Xenopus tropicalis: one gene and its partner. The protein of the gene in region 1 interacts with the protein of each later gene in a pairwise test. Links are inferred from orthologs where the notes say so. Each region holds a gene or a part of one and is shown on either strand. Other genes may lie near its edges.

Region 1 (3,701 bases):
GGTACAGAGCTCTGATTCTCTGTACTTCCTGCTCCTGGGCTGCTCTCTTTCCCATGGTCAGGCAGGAACCTCCCCCTGGGTAAGTGAATCCAATCTCCCCCCAGTACTTACCCAGGTACAGAGCTCTGATTCTCTGTACTTCCTGCTCCTGGGCTGCTCTCTTTCCCATGGTCAGGTAGGAACCTCCCCCTGGGTAAGTGAATCCAATCTCCCCCCAGTACTTACCCAGGTACAGAGCTCTGATTCTCTGTACTTCCTGCTCCTGGGCTGCTCTCTTTCCCATGGTCAGGCAGGAACCTCCCCCTGGGTAAGTGAATCCAATCTCCCCCCAGTACTTACCCAGGTACAGAGCTCTGATTCTCTGTACTTCCTGCTCCTGGGCTGCTCTCTTTCCCATGGTCAGGTAGGAACCTCCCCCTGGGTAAGTGAATCCAATCTCCCCCCAGTACTTACCCAGGTACAGAGCTCTGATTCTCTGTACTTCCTGCTCCTGGGCTGCTCTCTTTCCCATGGTCAGGCAGGAACCTCCCCCCTGGGTAAGTGAATCCAATCCCCCCAGTAGCAGAGGAAGGCAGACGGGACAGCAGGAGGGCCCCGGAGTCAGGGTTTATTATACAGACAGTATCGCTGCCTTACAAAGGCAATAACACAAAGTGAGTCTTTGCTAAAGGAACATTGAGGTAAAATCCCTGGGGGAGGGGAGGAATGTGCCGTACCCCAGAGGTTCGGGTGCGGGGGCCCAGCAGTGCCGGTTCCGGCCCAGTCACACGTTATAGTCGGGAGACTTGCTCAGCGGCTGGCGCAGTCGGATCTGGAGGGTGATGAAGGCGCCGGCGCTGACGTGGAAGAGGAGCTGCAGGAGGGAGCGCAGGTCGTGCAGGTACAGGTTACACAGGCAGATCAGCCCAAACGCCAGGAAGGACTTGGTGTTCCTCCAGCTGGTACTGTGGGCAAACAGGTAGCACTGCGGGGGCAACGGGACAGAATTACCCACAGGCCCAACCCAACGGGACTCGAGAGTAAGAAGCAGAGCCAATGGGAGCCCTCCTGTATCAGCACCAGATTGGGCCCAACCCCCGGCCAACTGGGTCCATTCTGATCCAATCAGCACCATGGTCTCCCCAGCAGGGGGAGCACTTCCAACCCCCAGGGGATGTTCCCCTTTAATATGATTTGCAATTGGTCTTTTATTTTGTATTTAATTTTAACCTGACTTGGGGGGGCATTTAGGAATATTCTTAGTTTCCCAGGTGGAATTCAGGAGTCAGGGGGGCCCCACTGCCCTGGGTATCAGGTGGAATTCAGGAGTCAGGGGGGCCCCACTGCGCTGGGTATCGGGTGGAATTCAGGAGTCAGGGGGGCCCCACTGCGCTGGGCATAGGGTGGAATTCAGGAGTCAGGGGGGCCCCACTGCACTGGGTATAGGGTGGAATTCAGGAGTCAGGGGGGCCCCACTGCGCTGGGTATAGGGTGGAATTCAGGAGTCAGGGGGGCCCCACTGCGCTGGGTATAGGGTGCAATTCAGGAGTCAGGGGGGCCCCACTGCGCTGGGTATAGGGTGGAATTCAGGAGTCAGGGGGGCCCCACTGCGCTGGGTATAGGGTGGAATTCAGGAGTCGGAATGACTGGGGGGGGGGGGGGGGCACTTACCTGGTACATACAGGCTGCGGTTCCCAAGAAGAAAGCAATAACGCAGTTCAAATCGTCGTCATTCTGCAAAATATTGTTAAAGAAAGTGAATTTGGGGGGGTGTTAGGACACGCCCACCCCTCATGTGAAACCCAGACAGGGACCTGAGAGGATCTATAGGGAGCTCCAATAAAGGGGCCATTGTTACAGATAGGGTTAATGTTTAGCCCAAAGGGAAACCAGCACCGGATATTATTCATAATTGCCTACAGGGTTAGGGGTTTCCTTTATCCAATATGTCTCCTTTAAACGTTCATCTGGTTGCTAGGGTCACACATGCCCTGGTAACCAGGTATTGGTGAGAATGACAGTCTGGCAGATGGAAATGAAGTAATAACCATATACCGCTGACCCCACAAACTCCATAACTTTAGAAAGAAATGTAAAGAGAGCGCCGGCAGCGCAGAGAGAGCGAGAGAGCGCCGGCAGCGCAGAGAGAGCGAGAGAGCGCCGGCAGCGCAGAGAGAGCGAGAGAGCGCCGGCAGCGCAGAGAGAGCGAGAGAGCGCCGGCAGCGCAGAGAGAGCGAGAGAGCGCCGGCAGCGCAGAGAGAGCGAGAGAGCGCCGGCAGCGCAGAGAGAGCGAGAGAGCGCCGGCAGCGCAGAGAGAGCGAGAGAGCGCCGGCAGCGCAGAGAGCGAGAGAGCGCCGGCAGCGCAGAGGGTGACGGCAGTAGAGAGTGAGAGCGCCGGCAGCACAGAGAGCGAGAGAGCGCCGGCAGCGCAGAGGGTGTCGGCAGTAGAGAGTGAGAGCGCCGGCAGCACAGAGAGTGCTGCTGGGTAAGAGACAAAGATGAGATCCCAAGGGACAGATATCTGAGCAAAATCAAACCCAAAAATCAGAATTGCCTAAGCTGCCAATGAGAGCGTCTGTAATATCGCAGCCCGGCCACTAGGGGCCACTGTGGCACCTCCACACACAGGCACCTTCCCCACTCAGTGCCTGAAACTGGCAGTTTAGATTAAAAGATTTAGCAATAAACTTTATTTACTCATAAACTGCCATTAAGTGCCGTGCAGCGGGGCCCGGGAGCCCGAATATCGGGAATTCAATTACATTTACTTCATCTTTGTGGGGTTGTTTTTTTTTTTTTTAAAGGGAAACTCCCGTTTTATGAAGTTGTAGATTGCGGTGATGTAACAATATCTTTGTTTGCAGTTGGTCTTTAGTTTTTATTATTTGTAGTTTTTTAGTTATTTTATTTTCAATTCAGCAGCTCTGCAGGTTGAAGTTTCAGCAGACAGTTGGTTGCTAGGGTCCAAGATACCTTAGCAACCAATGAGATATATGAATAGGGGAGGGGCTGAATAGAAAGATAAGGAATAAAAAGTAACAATAACAATAAAACTGGAGCCTCACAGAGCAATAGGGTTTGGCTGCCGGGGTCAGTGACCCCCATTTGAAAGCTGCAGAGAGACCCCCTATTTCTGACATTCAGGCAGCAAAACTACACCATCAGCCCCAGGGGGCCGCTGCCAAGTTACCCCAGGGGGCCTGACAGACAGACCGAGAGACCGACGGACAAGAGACCGTCAGACAGAGAGACCGAGACCGTCGGACAGACAGAAAGACAGAGAGACCGTCGGACAGACAGAGAGACCGTCGGACAGACAGAAAGACAGACAGAGAGACCGTCGGACAGACAGAGAGACCGTCGGACAGACGGACAGACTGACCGTCGGACAGACGGACAGACTGACCGTCGGACAAGAGACCGAGACCCTTAGACAGAGACCAAGACTGAAAGACAGACAGAGACAGGCAGACAGAGACTGCAGACAGACAGTTGCAGCCGCTCATGCAGAAAGGAAATCTCAGTGCATTAAGCTGATGTGACAGGAAAGAGACAGGAGGGAAAGGGAATAGAGTGCATTTAGCTTATGTGACACACGCCAGAGGGGGGGGGAGAGACAGTACCTGCAGCAGTGACAGACGCCGGGGGGGGCACATACCTGCAGCAGGCTCTCTATAGCGTGAAACCCCCGGATGAGGTTGAGGCCGGCGCAGAGCACGCTC
Region 2 (4,532 bases), on another chromosome or scaffold:
GCCTCGCTCTCTCCCTGGGAGTCAGTAGCCTCGCTCTCTCCCTGGGAGTCAGTAGCCTCGCTCTCTCCCTGGGAGTCAGTAGCCTCGCTCTCTCCCTGGGGGTCAGTAGCCTCGCTCTCTCCCTGGGGGTCAGTAGCCTCTCTCTCTCTGGGGGTCAGTTGCCTCTCTCTCTGCACCTAGGGAAGGGTTACTAGGCGCTAAAATTAGTGGCTCTTGAACTGCTTAACAGGGGACTGAAAATTAACTAGCAAATTAGCTTCATGCCCCTTTAATTGATCTTAAGTAATATACTTCATTTATTATAATTACTATTTAGTATTGTATTGTCTTTACATTATTAAAGGGAAACATGGGGACCTACCCTAAACAGGATAGGAACCAATTTCTGGGTCCTCTTGACCTATAAGTTACCAATCCCTGTTCTATTTATTCACTGCCTATTACATGTAGCTATGGGTCTGTGAATGAAGTTTTTTATGTTTAGCTGTTGGACTTGAGACATTAGGAATCATTAGCTGAGACCCTAGACACAAATGCAAGAGCACAAAGGGGATGCAAGAGTGCGTAAGTTAAGGGAAAATGCAAGTTAGGGGACAGGTTGGGGGACATCTTCATGCCTCCCTTGCCCACACCTCATGAATACAGCACTGCTGAGTGAAGGTAGTGCTGTATTCATGGGCCAACACAGGTCTCTGCACTACGGTATAGAGTGTAGATACCTGTGGCAATTTACCTACATGCAGAGCACATGATCGTACCCCATTTTTTGTACTTTGCATGCTGCCCTGCATATAGTAATTAACCGAGACACCACCCCAGTAATGGGGTGGAAAGAAACTGCTTGTTTGATTGGTAGTGACAAGTAAGTGGGTTATTCAGGAGAACATTCCATTTAAGGTTCATTTACTGTGAGGCTAAATCATCTGAATTCTAAAAATCAGACTATGGGAAACTAACTGGAGTTCTAAATGTATCTGTGTCCCCAGGATTGTTCATTAATTAGCATCATCCTTACTCTGACATATTATTGACTAATTAGGATTCTGCTCAATAAATGAGGCTGGGATTGCCCATTACATAGGCAGCTGAATAACGTGATCAGTCTTTATATGAGGCAGTGTCCTTATTCGTCTCGGCTCTTCTCATTAGTGGGGTCATTTCTTTATATAAGGGCTTTCTGCTCTATAATGAACTGCCTGCTAATTAATCCGGCCTTTTTAATTAGCGGGGCTGTTTCTTACAGGCATGTGCTAATTTTTCTGGATTTGCTGTTTTGTTCATTAATCTATTCATTACACAGGACACACATATATTAGTCTGCTCATTAACAATAAATTGTATAATTAATTAAAAAGAGGATATTTTTTTTCATTTAAATTATGATCTCCTATCTTCTGCTCGGATTTGTATATCCCTTTGTAACTGGCTTATGATTGAGTAACACTAATTACCCATCCATTGATCAAAATCAGATACTTTGTTCTTTTTGTTCTGGGCTCACTAAAGTACTAATTGGTGGTTGAGTGTGTGACCAGCTTACAGACACAAGTGAAACCCCTTTATTAACAAGGAGATATTTTTGCAGGCTAATCTATTGATTACACGCTGTGTTTTTTAAATGTGATCATGCAATTTGTTGTAAAATTCAAAGTCTCACCGTTTCTGTGTGTTTTTGACTCATGTGCAGCCCCATCAGTAGGACTCCAACAAGGACAAGCACAAGGACCACCACCACAAGGACCACGCAGACAAGCTTCTTAACACCACCGAGACATGGGATGCTGGGAATTGGCAACTCCGAATAGACCTGCAAAGACAGTAGGGTGTTAGATACAGTCAAGTTGGTGTTTCTTCCAAAGCTTCTCTTTAGCAGGGTCGGACTGGGGGGTGAAGGGCCCACCAGGTTCCCACCCTAATTCCCCCCCGCAGGGGCCCCCACCCGACGGCCTCCACCGATCGCACGTAATTTAACGCATCAGGGGAGGAGCGGTCGGCAGGGGGAGTGCCGGCAAGGGTCAGGTTCAACCCTGACATCCATACAGACATATATTGATCAGAAAGACTGATAAGAACCACATCAGGCTATGGATACCCCATCTAACCTGATTGGCTCAGTTTGGACCCCCCAACCCTAGATACAAGCACAGTGTCAGACTGGGAACACAGGGGCCCACCAGAAATCCTTAGACCCTAGGCCCGCTTTCCAAACTATTTTTCCTTCTTTCCTCACCCAACCTCTTTATTCTCCTAGTCTCTTTTATTTACATGCTAGCATCTATTCTTCCATCTATTTCTCCTCTTTGTACCCATTCAGAAATAGGGAATGAGCATGAAACAGACCAAATGGTCAGGAGCAGAAGGGCCCACTGACACCTGGGCCCACCGGGAGTTTTCCTGGTATCCTAATGGGCCAGTCTGACACTGCTCTTTAGTAGCAATAATAGATGTATTTAGACCCCAGTGATGCAACATTCAGTGGTCTATATTCACTTTTATCCATTGTAGAGTTGTAGAGCTCAACCTTTATCCTCAATCCATACAGATATTCCTTTTTTTTTTCTGTCCCCACTGATCTGAAAACCATGCCATCAGATATGGTTAATTTATCAACATTGGGCAAAGTTGCCCATGCACAGTGACCCACAGCAACCAATTAAATTGTTGCTGCAACTGGCTGAAAAAAGCCAATCACTGATTGGTTGCTATGGGCTACTGCCTATGGACAAATTTGCCCAGTGTTGATAAATGAGTCCCAGTAAGGTTAATAGACCTGTGAGAGCTGCTTCTACTGATTCTACTGTTGCACAGTGTAAAGCATTTTTACATCACACTCCTTACATTGTTGCTCTAATAGACCCACTAGGGTCTGACGCACAATCTGCAGAGTGTTTCCAAGTTAACACACCCATGTTACTTACGGGTGGCCTCTCCATGAGGACAGCTTTGCTCTGGTCCATGTCTTTGTGGGTAATGCAGCAGTCTACCTTTGCTGAGGTTGGTCCACTTTTTATACCTGCCTGAATAAGAATAATAGCATTGAAGTGTTTCCCGCCCCTTTTCTGAGTGTTTGCGCATACTCTACTTGTGTTTAAAGAACAGAAGCACTTCTTAGGGCTTTAAGAGGCTTTAATAATTGACGCTTTATTGGCACAGTCTGCACAGGGTTTCAACATTATATTCAAATTATTATATTTAGATTTAAGATTGCTGTAATTGCTGCCCATTTTGCACCACGCTTTACAGAGAAATGTCAAACCTACTGCAATATTTATAAAATTAATAAAGTGCATTAATCCCAGTCTTCTAATTCACCTTCCTTTAGAGTGGGAATCGTATTTCATTCTCATGCACAAATTAAGTCTTTCAACACAGTTTGTGCAATTCAACAAAGATGTTTAGCAGACTGTTTGTAGTACCCTCTGCAAGAATTTTCCCCAGGCTTCTTCCAAATGTTCCCTGGTTTTAGTGCTGGAGAACCTTTGACCACGAGCCAGAAGTCCCAGGTGCAGCCATAGATCCTGTAATCCACAGAACATGAGAACCAAGTTGTGTACTCCAGGAAGATGAACCTGTTTTGCTATTTTGACAATGTTGTTATAAATTCTGTAACATAGGGCAATTGCTTGAGAAGGGCACAGGTAGGACTGGAAGAGGATCAAATGGACCAGTATGACCCATTAGCCAGTAAAGGTGCAATCATGTATCCAACAGTCACAGCCACATACCAATGTCAAGTAGTGGTCCAACAGAAAATAGATTATTTGCTGCTTTAAGTCATGGCAGCATGCATACCAGGCATAGGTGGCACATACAGTATATACTTCTGGCCCTATAGATCTTGGAGGAAATCACCACCTCACTTCGCCACCATGTTCATGTTTTAGTTATGGTTCTGGTTACAGTTACAGAGTCCACCAACATAGTAAAAATGTTTTCACAAGAATATGAAGGGCTAATTTGACCAGATAATAGTTAATGGCCTTGTGTGGAACCAAGCATATACGGAGTGTCATCTGGTGGAATAATTTATGAACACATGGCTTGGTCTTCTGGACAACATATGGCGTCTGTAAGAGTGTGTCTAGTCTAATAAGAGTGTGTCTAGTAGCCTCTGGGCTTTAGCTCTGCATAGTAGACAATACTAATATATAGACCAGTGTGAATTGTAAGTGGCCATGATATAGCACACTGGGCCTTCAACTAGGTGGGATGGATAACTGTATAATGTGGTAAGAGCACCCATTAGGTCTCATTTACAAACCAACAGGGCAAGGTGCAAAGTGCAAAAAGCAGGCATAAGCCACAATGTTTTCCATACTCTGCACCTGGACCCACTTTCAGCACCCAGAGGCTTAGACTTGCATTTTCCTGATGACTGCAGCTTTACCTGCCTTGAAAACCGATATCTAAATCATTCTAAATCTTAATTACAACATGAACATCTCTCATAAACACTCCTCAGTAGTGGACTAACATAACATGTTTAATCTCAAATGTCCTCCCCTTTTATATGTTCAAAAGACCGTTTCCAT

What was found.
Region 2: the proteins of sec22a (region 1) and sftpc interact in binary tests that used the Homo sapiens proteins (3 or more experiments, as listed by UniProt). The two-hybrid records come from large-scale screens. The link is inferred for Xenopus tropicalis from reciprocal best matches to the Homo sapiens genes SEC22A and SFTPC.

What each region holds. Positions count from the first base shown.
Region 1 is NC_030685.2:88,985,668-88,989,368, reverse strand, and holds the end of sec22a (vesicle-trafficking protein SEC22a), read right to left. Parts: coding exon 3,638-3,701; intron 1,714-3,637; coding exon 1,651-1,713; intron 965-1,650; coding exon 764-964; 3' UTR 591-763; downstream 1-590. UniProt on the Homo sapiens protein: May be involved in vesicle transport between the ER and the Golgi complex.
Region 2 is NC_030679.2:129,600,035-129,604,566, reverse strand, and holds the start of sftpc (pulmonary surfactant-associated protein C proprotein), read right to left. Parts: upstream 2,969-4,532; 5' UTR 2,958-2,968; coding exon 2,919-2,957; intron 1,808-2,918; coding exon 1,658-1,807; intron 1-1,657. UniProt on the Homo sapiens protein: Pulmonary surfactant associated proteins promote alveolar stability by lowering the surface tension at the air-liquid interface in the peripheral air spaces.